Linked DNA regions of Ovis aries. The protein of the gene in region 1 purifies or fractionates together with the protein of each later gene. This does not show direct contact. Links are inferred from orthologs where the notes say so. Each region holds a gene or a part of one and is shown in the gene's direction. Other genes may lie near its edges. The genes, in order: CORO1A, POC1A and IFT57.

Region 1 (4,186 bases):
ACCAAATTATATCATTTGCCCCTGGGAGACAGGCAGGGCGGGGGTGCTCCTAGGTGAAGACACACCGAGAGGTTAAGTGACCCTCCCAAGGCCACCCATTTGTGCCTGTAGGGGCCTGAGTAGACCCCAGGTCTTCTGGGTGCAGGTGGACACAAGGTTCCCCCTCCTCTTTGCCGCTCGGCCTCCACTTGTTTCCTGACTGGAGGTGGGGCAGAAGGATGGTAACACAGCCTTTGCTTGGGATGAGGGCTATACTAAGGCCCGCTTTGAAGGGACTGATGGGCCATTTTATGGATGCCAGGGAAAGGATGGCGAGTAGGCTGGGGGTGGGCTGGAGAAGGGAAGAAGGAACAGGTTATTTTTGCATTTTTGACATTAAAAAAGTGCAGATTAGATTCTCAGCCACTGGCCAGCAGCATCTGTTTTGGTTTGGAATTGGCAGCTGAGGCGCTGAGCGCCGCGGCGGGAAGGGAGGGGAGGCTGCGGGCTGGTGGGCGAGGCGGCGCCTTGGCGGAGGGAAGGGCTCTCCCCTTTAAGAGCTCCGCCCAAAGGGGCGCTGCCACCCCTGAGGAGGCGGGCGCCGCCGCTTCTCATTCATTGTCTTGACAAGAGCATCCTCCGCGGACGTTCTCAGGCTCCGCCGGCTCCTTCCTCCTCCTCCTCCTCCTCGCCCTCCTCCGTCTGGGGGGTCGCTCATCTCTCAGCCGCAGGTAAGGCTGGAGCCCGGCCACCCGGGCTCGGCATCGCTGCCCTGGGCCACCTGTGGGGCAGGCGAGAGCTTGGCAGAAGCCGGCCGTGGGGGTGGACAGACTGTCAGAGCCGCTGGCTCCGAGGTGGAGACGGGGCCCGTCCACGCCCCGCGTGGAGGGACTCGCCTGAGCGTGTGGGTGCGCGTGGGAGGGTCCACCCGTGTGTCCCAGAGCTCCGTGAGGGGGCGAGGGTGAGGGGCCACGCAGCCAAGATGGAGGTGGGGGAGCCCGGGGGTCAGGACACCCGCCGGCCTCTCCCCAGAACGGGAGTCTTTGGGGTGGCGGTGGGGGGCAGGGTGGGGTGAACCCAGTAGCTGCCCTGAGCTTGGAGACAGGAAGGGGTTGAGAGCAAAACAAGAAAAGGCCAAGTTCCCCTTTCCGTGGTTTCCGGGGCCTGGTACCTGCGGTGGGGGAGGAGGCAGGGTGGGGCGATGGCTTCCTGTCTCCCAGCCTCCAGTTTGGGGCTCCCCTGTTCCCAGACCTAAGCTTCCCTCCCGGAAGGGTCCCCTGCCCCCAGCCAGCTCCTCCTCTCACAGGCGCCTCATCCGCTTTCTGGACAGGTGGACCCACAAGCCTCCTCCAGAGTCCCAGGGTAGGTGAGGGTGGCAGGAGCTCCAAGGGAGAAGGGCTAGGCACGAGGGAGGTGGTGGAGGAGAGGCCGTGGGGCCCCCACACCAAGCTGGCAGGAGATGCTCTGGGGCCCCAGCATGAGGCCTGGAGCCTGGGGAGCCAGAGGCAGGTCCCTTGGCTCTGCTCGCTGTCCACCCAGCCATGGAGGAAAACCGTTCTTGCTGCTCCTCCGAGAAGTGAGCACCAGCCGCTTCCTTCCTGTGGATGGCTTCAGTGGGGTGGAGAAGGCCCTTAAGCGCACCTGCTTAAGTGGGGGCGAGAAGCTGAGGTGTGAGGAGGAGATGCTGGGACCCGAGCCATCTGCCTGCTTCTGGTGCCCAGAGACCCGCTGGGGAAGCCCTCCGGCCATGGGGGACATGCCGCCCAGGCAAACCCACATGCCATTTCCTTCCGTGTGTCCAGCCTGGACCTGGAGGTGGGGAGGGCCCCTGCCTTTTAGATGGCTCCTCATGTGGGTGTGAGGGTGTGAGGTCTGGACGCTGAGGCTGAGTGCACCCTCCACACTGTTGCCCTGAGGCCCTGGAAGGTGGCCCGTCAGAGAGGATGGGCCCTGGGACTGTCAGCCAGTCCGCGGTCAAGTTGGCACTAGGTGCTACCCCTCACCCCAGGCTCTGCTGTGGAGGCTGAGGGTACAGAAGCCAGGCTTGGGACGGGTTGAGACGGTGGGCCTTGCAGGTCAGCCAGGGATGAGGAGGGGTGGGCAAGGCGTGTATAAGGGTAGCTGGATGTCAGTGACAGAGGAGAGCGACAGGGAAGTTAGCTGAGACCATGGCTGCCAGACTGAGGGGTGGGTGTCCTGGGAGAGATGGGGGCCACTGGAAGGTCAGGGTTGACCTGAGGGGAGCAAAGCCTTTCACCCCTGTCTCACCAGGATGAGCCGGCAGGTGGTCCGTTCCAGCAAGTTCCGCCATGTGTTTGGACAGCCGGCCAAGGCTGACCAGTGCTATGAGGATGTGCGCGTCTCACAGAACACCTGGGATAGTGGCTTCTGTGCTGTCAACCCCAAATTCGTGGCCCTGATCTGTGAGGCCAGCGGGGGAGGGGCCTTCCTGGTGCTGCCCCTGGGCAAGGTGAGCCCCTGGAGCCCTGGGGACAGGCCCTCCTCCTAAGGGGGCCTCAGGTGATCTAGTTGGCCCCCTGGGGGTCCCGATGAGGTCTGCGGCTCAGGACAGTGGGCCGCAGTGTTGCCCTCTGCAAAACTGGGTTGAGCCGCATGAACCTTACACTTCCTCCAGCGCCTCCATGCAGTGCTTGGATGGAGCTGAAGCTCAGGGTTGGGAGTGACACGGGAAGTGTCAAATAGCAAGTCCTGCAGACCCAGGGTTAGCCCTCCCAAGTCTCAACCTGGAGCTTTCTCCTGCACAGAGAGGCCTGGGATGGGGTCTGAGTGGGCCCAGCAGTGCTCTTAGGGTTTGGAGGGACCTCTCTGAGGCCCTGGGAAGCCAGTGAGCTCAGTGGCTCCCAGCTCACAGGCAGGGATGAGGTAAGAGACCCTCTCCCCTCGCCAACCCTGGCCTCCCTCAAATCCTGCCCTCCCTGCTGTCTGCGGACCCCCCCGCCCCAGCACACTCCCGTGCTCTTGGGGGGTGAGACAGGAAGGGGAGATGGGCCCTCGGTTGTTACCTTAAAAGGGCTGATGGAAACATAGAGAAGAGGAAGTGGTTGTCAGAGTAAGAGCTGGGCCCGCACTTCACACAGGAAACCGTGCTGTAGCAGCCGTCCCCGGAAGCAGCCATTTCAAACCCGTTATAACAGACTTCCCCATCCTTGTCCTTTCGGGGGGACCTGTCCCCACAGCCCCATCATTCACACACACTTCCCTGGGGAACCCCAGCCCTGATACAACCACACCCTCAGCCTGAATCACGCCGGGGGCCTTGGCCTGTTGTGCCATGGAAGAATCTGGGGTGGGGGTGAGGGCGGGGGTACCAGGCCCCGGCTGAGATGGAGCTGGCAGGAACTTGGCCAGGGTCTGAGAGAGGGGCAGGACCAAGCCCGCATGTCCATCCTGCGCTACCTGTGGCCAGCCTTCTGAGTTGCCCAGACAGCTCTGAGATGGGCAGAGCCCCAAACCCTCCCACCCTAGGTCCCTCTCTGCCTTCCAGGGACCCCACACCTTTCCCCTCTGTGCCTCTCTGAAGGGGTGTGGGGAGGTGGGATTGGGTTTGGCGGGCCAGAGCACCTCCCTCAGAGGCCCCGCTGTGTCCTCCAGACCGGCCGTGTAGACAAGAATGTGCCTATGGTCTGTGGCCACACGGCCCCGGTGCTGGACATCGCCTGGTGCCCGCACAATGATAACGTCATTGCCAGTGGCTCCGAGGACTGCTCCGTCATGGTGAGTATGGGGGGCACCCAGGGGCCAGGAGGGGGCTCAGGCACTGGAGCTGATGTTGGGCACCGCCAAGACTCACTTGCTCGCCCCTTCTCTGCAGGTGTGGGAGATCCCCGATGGGGGCCTGACACTGCCCCTGCGGGAGCCTGTCGTCACCCTGGAGGGCCACACCAAGCGCGTGGGCATTGTGGCCTGGCACCCCACCGCCCAGAACGTGCTGCTCAGTGCAGGTGCCAAGGGCGGGACGCAGGGAGGGCTGGTTGCCTGACAGTCAGGGGGGAGGCTCCTGGCTTCTGACACTGGGGACATCGCCCAGGTTGCGACAATGTGATCCTGGTGTGGGACGTGGGCACGGGGGCGGCCGTGCTGACGCTGGGCTCCGACGTGCACCCGGACACCATCTACAGTGTGGACTGGAGCCGAGATGGTGCCCTCATCTGTACCTCCTGCCGAGACAAACGAGTCCGCATCATTG
Region 2 (3,608 bases), on another chromosome or scaffold:
CGTGGCCTGCCCTCGGCTCTGGGTGGGCCGCCTCCTGTCCTTTGCTTGTGCTGCCCTCCTGGAAAGTCCTTGGGAGACTCCTCACGGCAGCTCGGGATGCTGGCTGCCCTGGCTGGCCCCGCGTGCTGTCTTCTGGCTTCACGGGCCTCCCAGCCTGCGCCTGACTGCCGTCCTTCCCCCAGTGCACAGTGCGGCGGTGAATGCCCTCTCCTTCCACCCGTCGGGGAACTACCTGGTCACGGCCTCCAGCGACTCAACCCTGAAGATCCTGGACCTCATGGAGGGCCGGCTGCTCTACACACTCCACGGCCATCAGGTGAGGGCATCAGCCTGGGCGGGGTGGCGTGGCGTGGGCTGAAGGGGCCGCCTCAAGGTGGCCCTTCCCTTGGCGCCTGATGGGCCGTTGGAGCGTTTTGCATCCCCCCACAGCCTGGGCAGTGGGGTGAGGTGCAGAAACAGGTGTCCTACCCATGAGAGCTGTGACCTCTGCAGAAGCGCTGGGCCTGGGGCAGCAGCTGAGGAGGGAGCACAGGGCTTCAGTCAGATGAGGGTGGGGAGGGACGCGTCTGGACGTGGCTGGCAGGGTTTCTCTAGGCTGAATGGAGTCTGTCCCAAGTGACCTCCAGCCTCCCTTGGTGGTACGGTTGAGGAGAGCCCTGGGACCCATTCCGTGAACAGCCATGAAGCCTCCTGGAGCCCTGTGGAGGCAGAAACAGCAGGTGCCTCGTGGAGGTGGGCATGAAGGAGGGAAGTCTCCCCACATGTTTGCTGAGGAGTTCCCGGAGCTGACTCGAGGAGAGGGGCTTTCTCTCCGAGCCCCTTTTAGCAACGCACCCGTGCCTCGGCTCCCTGTGGGGCAGTGACTGGGCACCGGCCTCAGCGGGTGGGCTGTGGGAGGCGGGCTGGGTGTGGCTGAGTGTCTTCTGCTGAGCAGAGTGGTCAGCAGAGTGTTTTCTGTCGGGGCAGAGACCAGAGCATTTCCATCTGTCCACTTCTCTATTTGTGAGCAGGCGCAGGTAGGATGGAGAGTGGGGGCACTCTCGAGGGCTGAGGGAGGCTCTGGGGTGCTCGTGCCTCTTGGGCCAGCAGCTGTGTTGAGGTGCCTACCCCAGGGCCCTCTGGATCCCACTGCCACCTGAGTTGTGTATAGGGCCTTGGCTGGGTCTTGTGGGGGCAAGGCCTTTTCTTTTGCTTTCTTGGGACGTGGAGGCCACTTGCTATCAGCTGTGGTGATCCCTTGTCTGTCAGAGACATGCCTCGTGTGCAGGAGCTCTGACCTGTTCCTCTGATGTTGACACATCTGGGCGTCATGTGCGGCCACTGGGCTGAGGTGACTGCTGCTCTTGTCAGCCTGTGGGGGAATCACTTTGGTTATCCCTTTGGCGATTTGATTACTTAGATTCATGTGTAACCAGTTTTGGCTGGAGTTTTATAACCAGGAGGGCATTTGGAAACCACGTGAAGGCTGCTGCCTCTTGTGTTCCGATGATAAAGGAGAAGCCATGCACGGAAATACCGTGCAGACAGGTGCACACCAGGTGACCACCCCATTCTTTCCTTTTTCTTGTGAGCACTCTTCAGACTGCTGACTCAGCTCTGAGCCTGAGAAGCCTCGAATGCAGCATCTACAGGGGCATTCCTGAGCTCAGGCCCAGCGTCAGAGCATGGAAGCCTGTGGATGTTGTTTTCCCAGAGAAGCAAGACGGGGCCACGATAAATCACGTGGTTGCCTGTCTGCTGTTGAACCTGGAATGTGGGAGCTAGGCTGAGGACAACTGGTAGTTTTGGGGTGTGGAGAATGGGAAATGGCTCCAGGAATCACCAAGCTTGCAGTGCCCAGAGGAAGGGGGAAGAAAGAGAAGCAAGCTCACCCCTATTCATCTTGCTGTCTGCCTGTCCATTATGTCATCCGCTCCCCAGCTTGCTGGGCTGGGCGTCATGGGTTTGAAATGGATGCAGTGGCCCCACCCCCTGGGGCTCATGCCTGGCAAGCAGGGGACTCCCTGGGGCCATCAGCAGAGCTGAGGTGGCATGAGATGCGTTACGAAACGAGAGGCAGGTTGGGTCTTGGGTGATACTTGGAGGGTTAGGTGAAGCAGCGTGGGCTTCTTCCCCAGAGTGCTGCTCAGATCAAAGTGGGACTTGGAGTGAGAGGCTCACATTTGTTTCTGTTCTGACCCTTGAAAATTCCCACCAAATACAGACACTTAGCACTGGTGTGCTGTGGGCTTTAGGGGCCTGGGTTTGGGGTGATTCACAGTCAGCTAAGTGTGCCTTCCTTAGAAAGGATAGTGCGGTTGAGCAGCCTTGATTGGGGCAGTTATTAAAAACAGCCCACCAGCCAACCTGAATACCTAGAGCAGGTGGATGTCTGGGCTGGGAGCAAGAGTGCCTTTTCTCTCCCTGAGGGGACAGACCTGTGGAGGTTTGACCTGTGCTGTCACTGGGAGCCAGTGTGCTCCGTAAACGTCCCTGACCTGTGAGGGTCTGTGCGTGCTATCAGGCCAGAGTGGTTCCACCCTGGAACAGTTCTTGGACACCTGTGTTGCCCTGTTGGAGAATGTATTGCCCTGGCCAAGCCCCAGGGAGAGGGCCTGTACCATGGCTGAGGAGTGCAGCTCTGCCCGCGTGCTCTGTGCAGCGTCTGGTCTTAGGCTCCCCCCTCATGAAGTGCCCCCGGCCCTGTCCTTCCAGTAAGACGTGCAGCTGAGCTCCTTGGCGACTTGAGCATCCACATTCTGTTCTGGGAGGTGACTGAGGGCCTCACCCAGCACAGCTGTCACTGGCCACTTCCTAAAGCCTGTGGCTGAGCAGCCCCGTGGCTCCCTAGTGGCCCCGGATGCCCAGGGATTCTGTCCCACAGAGTAGTTGGCAGATTTGAAAGCACCTTTGAGTCCTGGTGGGGGAACCGAGGCCCAGAGAATGGGGTAGGCAGCTTACGGTTGTTGAACGGGGTCAGTTAACCATATCTACAGTTTCCAGCACACCCGCTGACCCCATATGTATGACTGTTAGAAGCTGAGTTGTAATCTCACTCTTGTTCTTAGTAATAGATCACTGGTCTGTGTAGGAAACCAGCAGGCCTCATGGCTTCTTGTGTTCCAGCCTCACTGTTGGATGACAGCATTCTGGTCAGTGGGAGAGGGATCCCCTTGAAGCTTTGGTTTGGACTTGAGGACTTCCTTGTGATCGCCCTCAGGCAGAGCCCTGAGGGAGCTTTAGAGGGAGGGCTGTTGAGTTATTCTGCTCCATGGAGCAGCAACCCCCTTGGGCCTCCAGTTCCATACCTGTGAGAAGGTACAGTGCAGGCTGGGGGTCAGAGGCCAGCTGAGAGGAGTCAGCTGCAGGGGGCTGGTGCTGGGGTGAACCAGACCCTGACCAAGAGAGGGGGCTCTGTGTGTGCCAAGGAAGTGTCTCTGTGTCTTGCGAGAGGGCCGGCCTAAACCACCTCTAATGGGGGAAGAGCGTGAAAGGGTCAGAGTGGAGAAGGAAGGGTCGAGGAGGCAGAGCTGTTGGGCAGAAGCTCTCTTGCCTTGGGTTGAGGCCAGAAGTCTGCCATCTCCTGAAGGCACAGGAGCACCAGGACGGCCACATGCCAAGCGCAAAGC
Region 3 (4,108 bases), on another chromosome or scaffold:
AGAAACAAGTTAGGTCTAGACTGATATAAAAATGAGAAGTGCTCTTCTGCCCATTTTTCTAACAAAAAGATACAACAAATAAATTTCAGACTTCAGCTCTGTCAAAAAATGGGCCTCTGTATTTTCTAGTAACAGATAAAAGTAGAGATCAAAAATCACATAAACACAAACATAGTTTCAACCTCTTGCCAAAAGTTTTCATCTCCCAGGAAACCCCCAGCATCTACCACTTACCTGATTTTTTATATAGCTGGTAGGAAAACTGCTTAATACACAAAAGTTTCTTTTTGAGACCTGTAAAGCAGTCAGTTATGCCCCCTTCCTTGTATTGGTATTTTCCAGGTCAACAGCTGCACAGTACAGTAGTAACATTCTGTCATTAGCCACACTTAGAGCTACAGGGCAGGGAATTCCTCTCAAGATTATCTCCTTTGCTATTTTAACAAGCCACCCCAAAACTTGACACAACATGTAATGGCCTTGATTAAACAGCAGGATGTGAGTTTAGAATTTTTGTTTCTGAGGTACAACAAACACTTTCTTATGCCTCCTTTCTGCTTATCCTCTGCCTTTTTTCTTCCCCTCCCAACCAACAACTTTTCTCATCCCTGGAGTAACAGCAGAGAATTATAATACTTCAAATCTTGCAATATACTGTTAAATCAAATACTGCATTCCCGAATGAGAGAAAGATTAAGAAAAATAAGGAAAATTCTCTTTGGAAAACTCCTGAAGTAAAGGGAAACCGATGATATCGAATATCTTTACAACTGTGAAAACTTTCAATTTGAAAACGAAAAATTAAAAAGATACCAGTGGGCTATGGTAGCCTTCAATACTGCACGCCTTCCTCTCTCTTTAATCTTTTTATCTGCTACCAGCTGACTCAGACGCCGACTCAGGGGCTCTTGAGGACCGTTCCAAGTCTCCTAGAGCCTCCTAAGGACCATCAAGAAAGCACAACAGAAACGCCCGCAGACCCTCCCTCTTTAAAATGAAGCGGTAGGAGGCGTGGCCCAACGTGACTAGGAGAATGCCACGCCTATGGGGCGGGGCTGCTTCAGCCTCCGCCTCTCCAGAGGCGGGGGAAGGGGCGGGGGAAGGGGGCAGGAGCCAGACGTGACGCCCGCAAGGAAGCCCTCCCTGGTTGGAGGGAATTTAGAACGTTGGAGCGGGGGAAGGGGGCGGAGTCTAATTTTCCTGTTGGTGTGCCCGGGTCGCCTGGGTAACCGGCCTCGCTGGTCCTGGCTGCGCCAGCGCAGGCCGCGGAGGTCTGTGGGTCAGACCTCGCGCTGGGCTCTTTCGGTCTGTTCCGTGATGGCAGCCGCCGCCGCAGTGGTCACCCCGTCGGGTTTGGAGGATGAGGTGTCTCGGTCCCGCGGCGAAGGAGCGGGGGAGGTGGTCGTGGAGAGGGGCCCCGGCGCGGCCTACCACATGTTTGTGGTGATGGAGGACCTGGTGGAGAAGCTGAAGTTGCTCCGCTATGAGGAGGATCTCCTCCGGAAGAACAACCTGAAGCCCCCGTCCAGGTGGGTGCCCTCGTCCCCCGAGCGCCTGGAAGCCGGCTGGGCCCTGGGGAGAAGCCTTCCTCTGGCCTTTGGGGGAACTCCGAGCGCGGGTTACCAAGCACTTGCCTCTGTCTTCCTACGCAGGAAAGAGCACTTCACCCCAAACTTGGCGACGTAGGGCCGGACTGCTCACGGAGTTTAGACTTGGTATTTTTGTAGCGAGAGTAAAGTTTTGGAACTTCAAATAGGACTGGAAGGCAGCTTGCCTAGAGCACTCACGCAGCTCCATAAAACGCAAACTTTTTTTTTTTTTTCCTGATTGTAAACATAATAAAACAACCTCTTAGAAAACTCAGAAAACTTACAATGTGTAAAGTACTGCAGTCACTCATGATCTCATCCTCAAAGATGAATGCCATAATCAGTTTAGCTGTTTCTAGTTTTTGTTTTCCTTTTCGAGAATTTGTCCCTACAACTTGTAACTTTTGTATCGGACACCTACTTGTGCATTTTATAAGTGGTTAGTAAACTTGTTCACTAATTGCTATCTTTTAAAAGATTTCTGTCTTTGCAGTAACAGTACTTTTGGAAACTGAGAAGTGAACAAGACAAATGAAGTGACAATGGAATTGTCTCTTTTCATAGAACCTGAAGTTCTGCTCTATTCTGTTGGGGGGAAAGTCCATCATATTCTGAAGCCGCGGCTGGTATTACTTGCTGAGGATGATGGACAGCCAGAACTTTCTCTTTAAATTAGTGTAGCCTAGTGATAGGCCTCATAAACTTTGTAGATTTCCTTCACATTAATACTTTTTTTTTTGTATTAAATTTTTGTTTTTGTTTAATTGTGTAAGAGGCAATTTAGTTTAAGAATCTGTAGTACTTTCTCTAAATGACTATACCTAGGCTCAAATTATTTTCAAATTATTTACCTTGACAGTTTAAATTTAATTCCTTACTCTCTTCCAGTAACTTCCATTAGAAGATAATGTTGGCTTCATGTAAACTGCCCATATTGCTAAGCCAGTCCATAATAGAAAAGTTAGAGGAAGAAATAATGTTGTTTGATCCATGATATAAATTGTAAGATTGGAAGTTATTACTTAAATGAATAGGGTAATTCATAAACAGTCAACATTTTCTGTTAATAAAAATGTTTTTTTTCTCCAAGTATATTTTTCAAACAAAAATAAATTGGCTTTAAGATTTTGTTGATAACAATCTGTTATTTCCTCAGAAGTTCAGGAGGGTACTTTGAGTCATGGATTTGCATGGAAATATCCTAGTCTAAAGGTTCTCAAAGTATGGTCAACAGATTAGCAACATCAGCATCACCTGGGAACTTATTAGAAGTGTAATCCTACAGGCCCTTTCCTGAGTCCAGTATATCAGAAATCTTAGAGGGTGAGGTGTAGAAGTCTGCTTTTGCAACAAGCCTTCCAGGTGATTCTGATACCCACTTAAGTTTGAGAACCACTAACCTAAACAGCATATTAAAAAGCAGAGACATTACTTTGCCAACAAAGGTCTGTCCAGTCAAGGCTATGGCTTTTCCAGTAGTCATGTATGGATGTGAGAGTTGAACTATAAAGAAAGCTGAGCGCTGAAGAATTGATGCTTTTGAACTGTGGTATTGGAGAAGACTCTTGAGAGTCCCTTGGACTGCAAGGAGACCCATCCAGTACATCCTAAAGGAGATCAGTCCTGGGTGTTCATTGAAAGGACTGATGTTGAAGCTCCAATACTTTGGCTATCTGATGTGAAGAACTGACTCATTTGAAAATACCCTGATGCTGGGAAAAGATTGAAGGTGGGAGGAGAAGGGGATGACAGAGAATGCGCTAGTTAGATGGCATCACCAACTCAATGGACATGAGTTTAAGTGAACTCCGGGAGTTGGTGATGGACCGGGAAGCCTGGTGTGCTGCAGTCCAAGGGGTCACAAAGAGTCAGACACGACTGAGCTATTGAACTGAACTGAACTGTCTTGGGTCTCCAGTATCTATCAGTATCCATTCCTCTGTCCTGGAGTTGTTATCAGCTAATAAGGGAAAAAAAAAATTATTAGTAGTGGGTGAACATATACCTATTTGGAAGGACTTCATAGCCTTTTTTTCCCTCCCAGCTGTTATTTTCCAGAACATTTAAACTATCCTGCAAGAGAAAAATTGGGAAGGAAAAAAAAACTGGAAAAAAATCAGGAAGGAGTAGATTGCTGATTCTTATGAAAAATAGTTATAGTATCTATAAATCTAATTGTAAACAATAGTAATAGCTTCACATAAAAGCAAAATAAGGTCTTTGATCAAAGTAAAAAATGCTGTGGCTTACAGGTTTTATTCCTTAAAAGTTTAGGTGTGAATCATGTTGGTTCTCATAGGGCTATTTTTAAGAGGCTAGGGGCTTTAACCTAAAGTCCACAAATGTTTGTTAGACTGGGATATACACAGGCAGTGGTTCTTAATCCTGGCTGAACCTTAGAACTATCTAGGAAGCTTTTGAAACATATCTACCCCGGACTTCACTCCCCAGAGTTTTGATTTAATTTGTGAGGTAAGAAACAATGTTTAGTCAGGTAGCAGTAGTTTAACAAGCTCTTC

What was found.
Region 2: the proteins of CORO1A (region 1) and POC1A purify together in Homo sapiens (affinity purification with mass spectrometry; 3 studies listed by BioGRID and IntAct, counting the BioPlex papers as one, with this or other methods). This does not show direct contact. The link is inferred for Ovis aries from reciprocal best matches to the Homo sapiens genes CORO1A and POC1A.
Region 3: the proteins of CORO1A (region 1) and IFT57 purify together in Homo sapiens (affinity purification with mass spectrometry; 3 studies listed by BioGRID and IntAct, counting the BioPlex papers as one, with this or other methods). This does not show direct contact. The link is inferred for Ovis aries from reciprocal best matches to the Homo sapiens genes CORO1A and IFT57.

What each region holds. Positions count from the first base shown.
Region 1 is NC_056077.1:26,650,377-26,654,562, reverse strand, and holds the start of CORO1A (coronin-1A), read left to right. Parts: upstream 1-1,281; 5' UTR 1,282-1,438; coding exon 1,439-1,794; intron 1,795-2,250; coding exon 2,251-2,449; intron 2,450-3,591; coding exon 3,592-3,714; intron 3,715-3,811; coding exon 3,812-3,941; intron 3,942-4,027; coding exon 4,028-4,186. UniProt on the Homo sapiens protein: May be a crucial component of the cytoskeleton of highly motile cells, functioning both in the invagination of large pieces of plasma membrane, as well as in forming protrusions of the plasma membrane involved in cell locomotion.
Region 2 is NC_056072.1:48,823,031-48,826,638, forward strand, and holds part of POC1A (POC1 centriolar protein homolog A), read left to right. Parts: intron 1-182; coding exon 183-316; intron 317-3,608.
Region 3 is NC_056054.1:173,993,033-173,997,140, reverse strand, and holds the start of IFT57 (intraflagellar transport protein 57 homolog), read left to right. Parts: upstream 1-1,227; 5' UTR 1,228-1,317; coding exon 1,318-1,529; intron 1,530-4,108. UniProt on the Homo sapiens protein: Required for the formation of cilia. Plays an indirect role in sonic hedgehog signaling, cilia being required for all activity of the hedgehog pathway.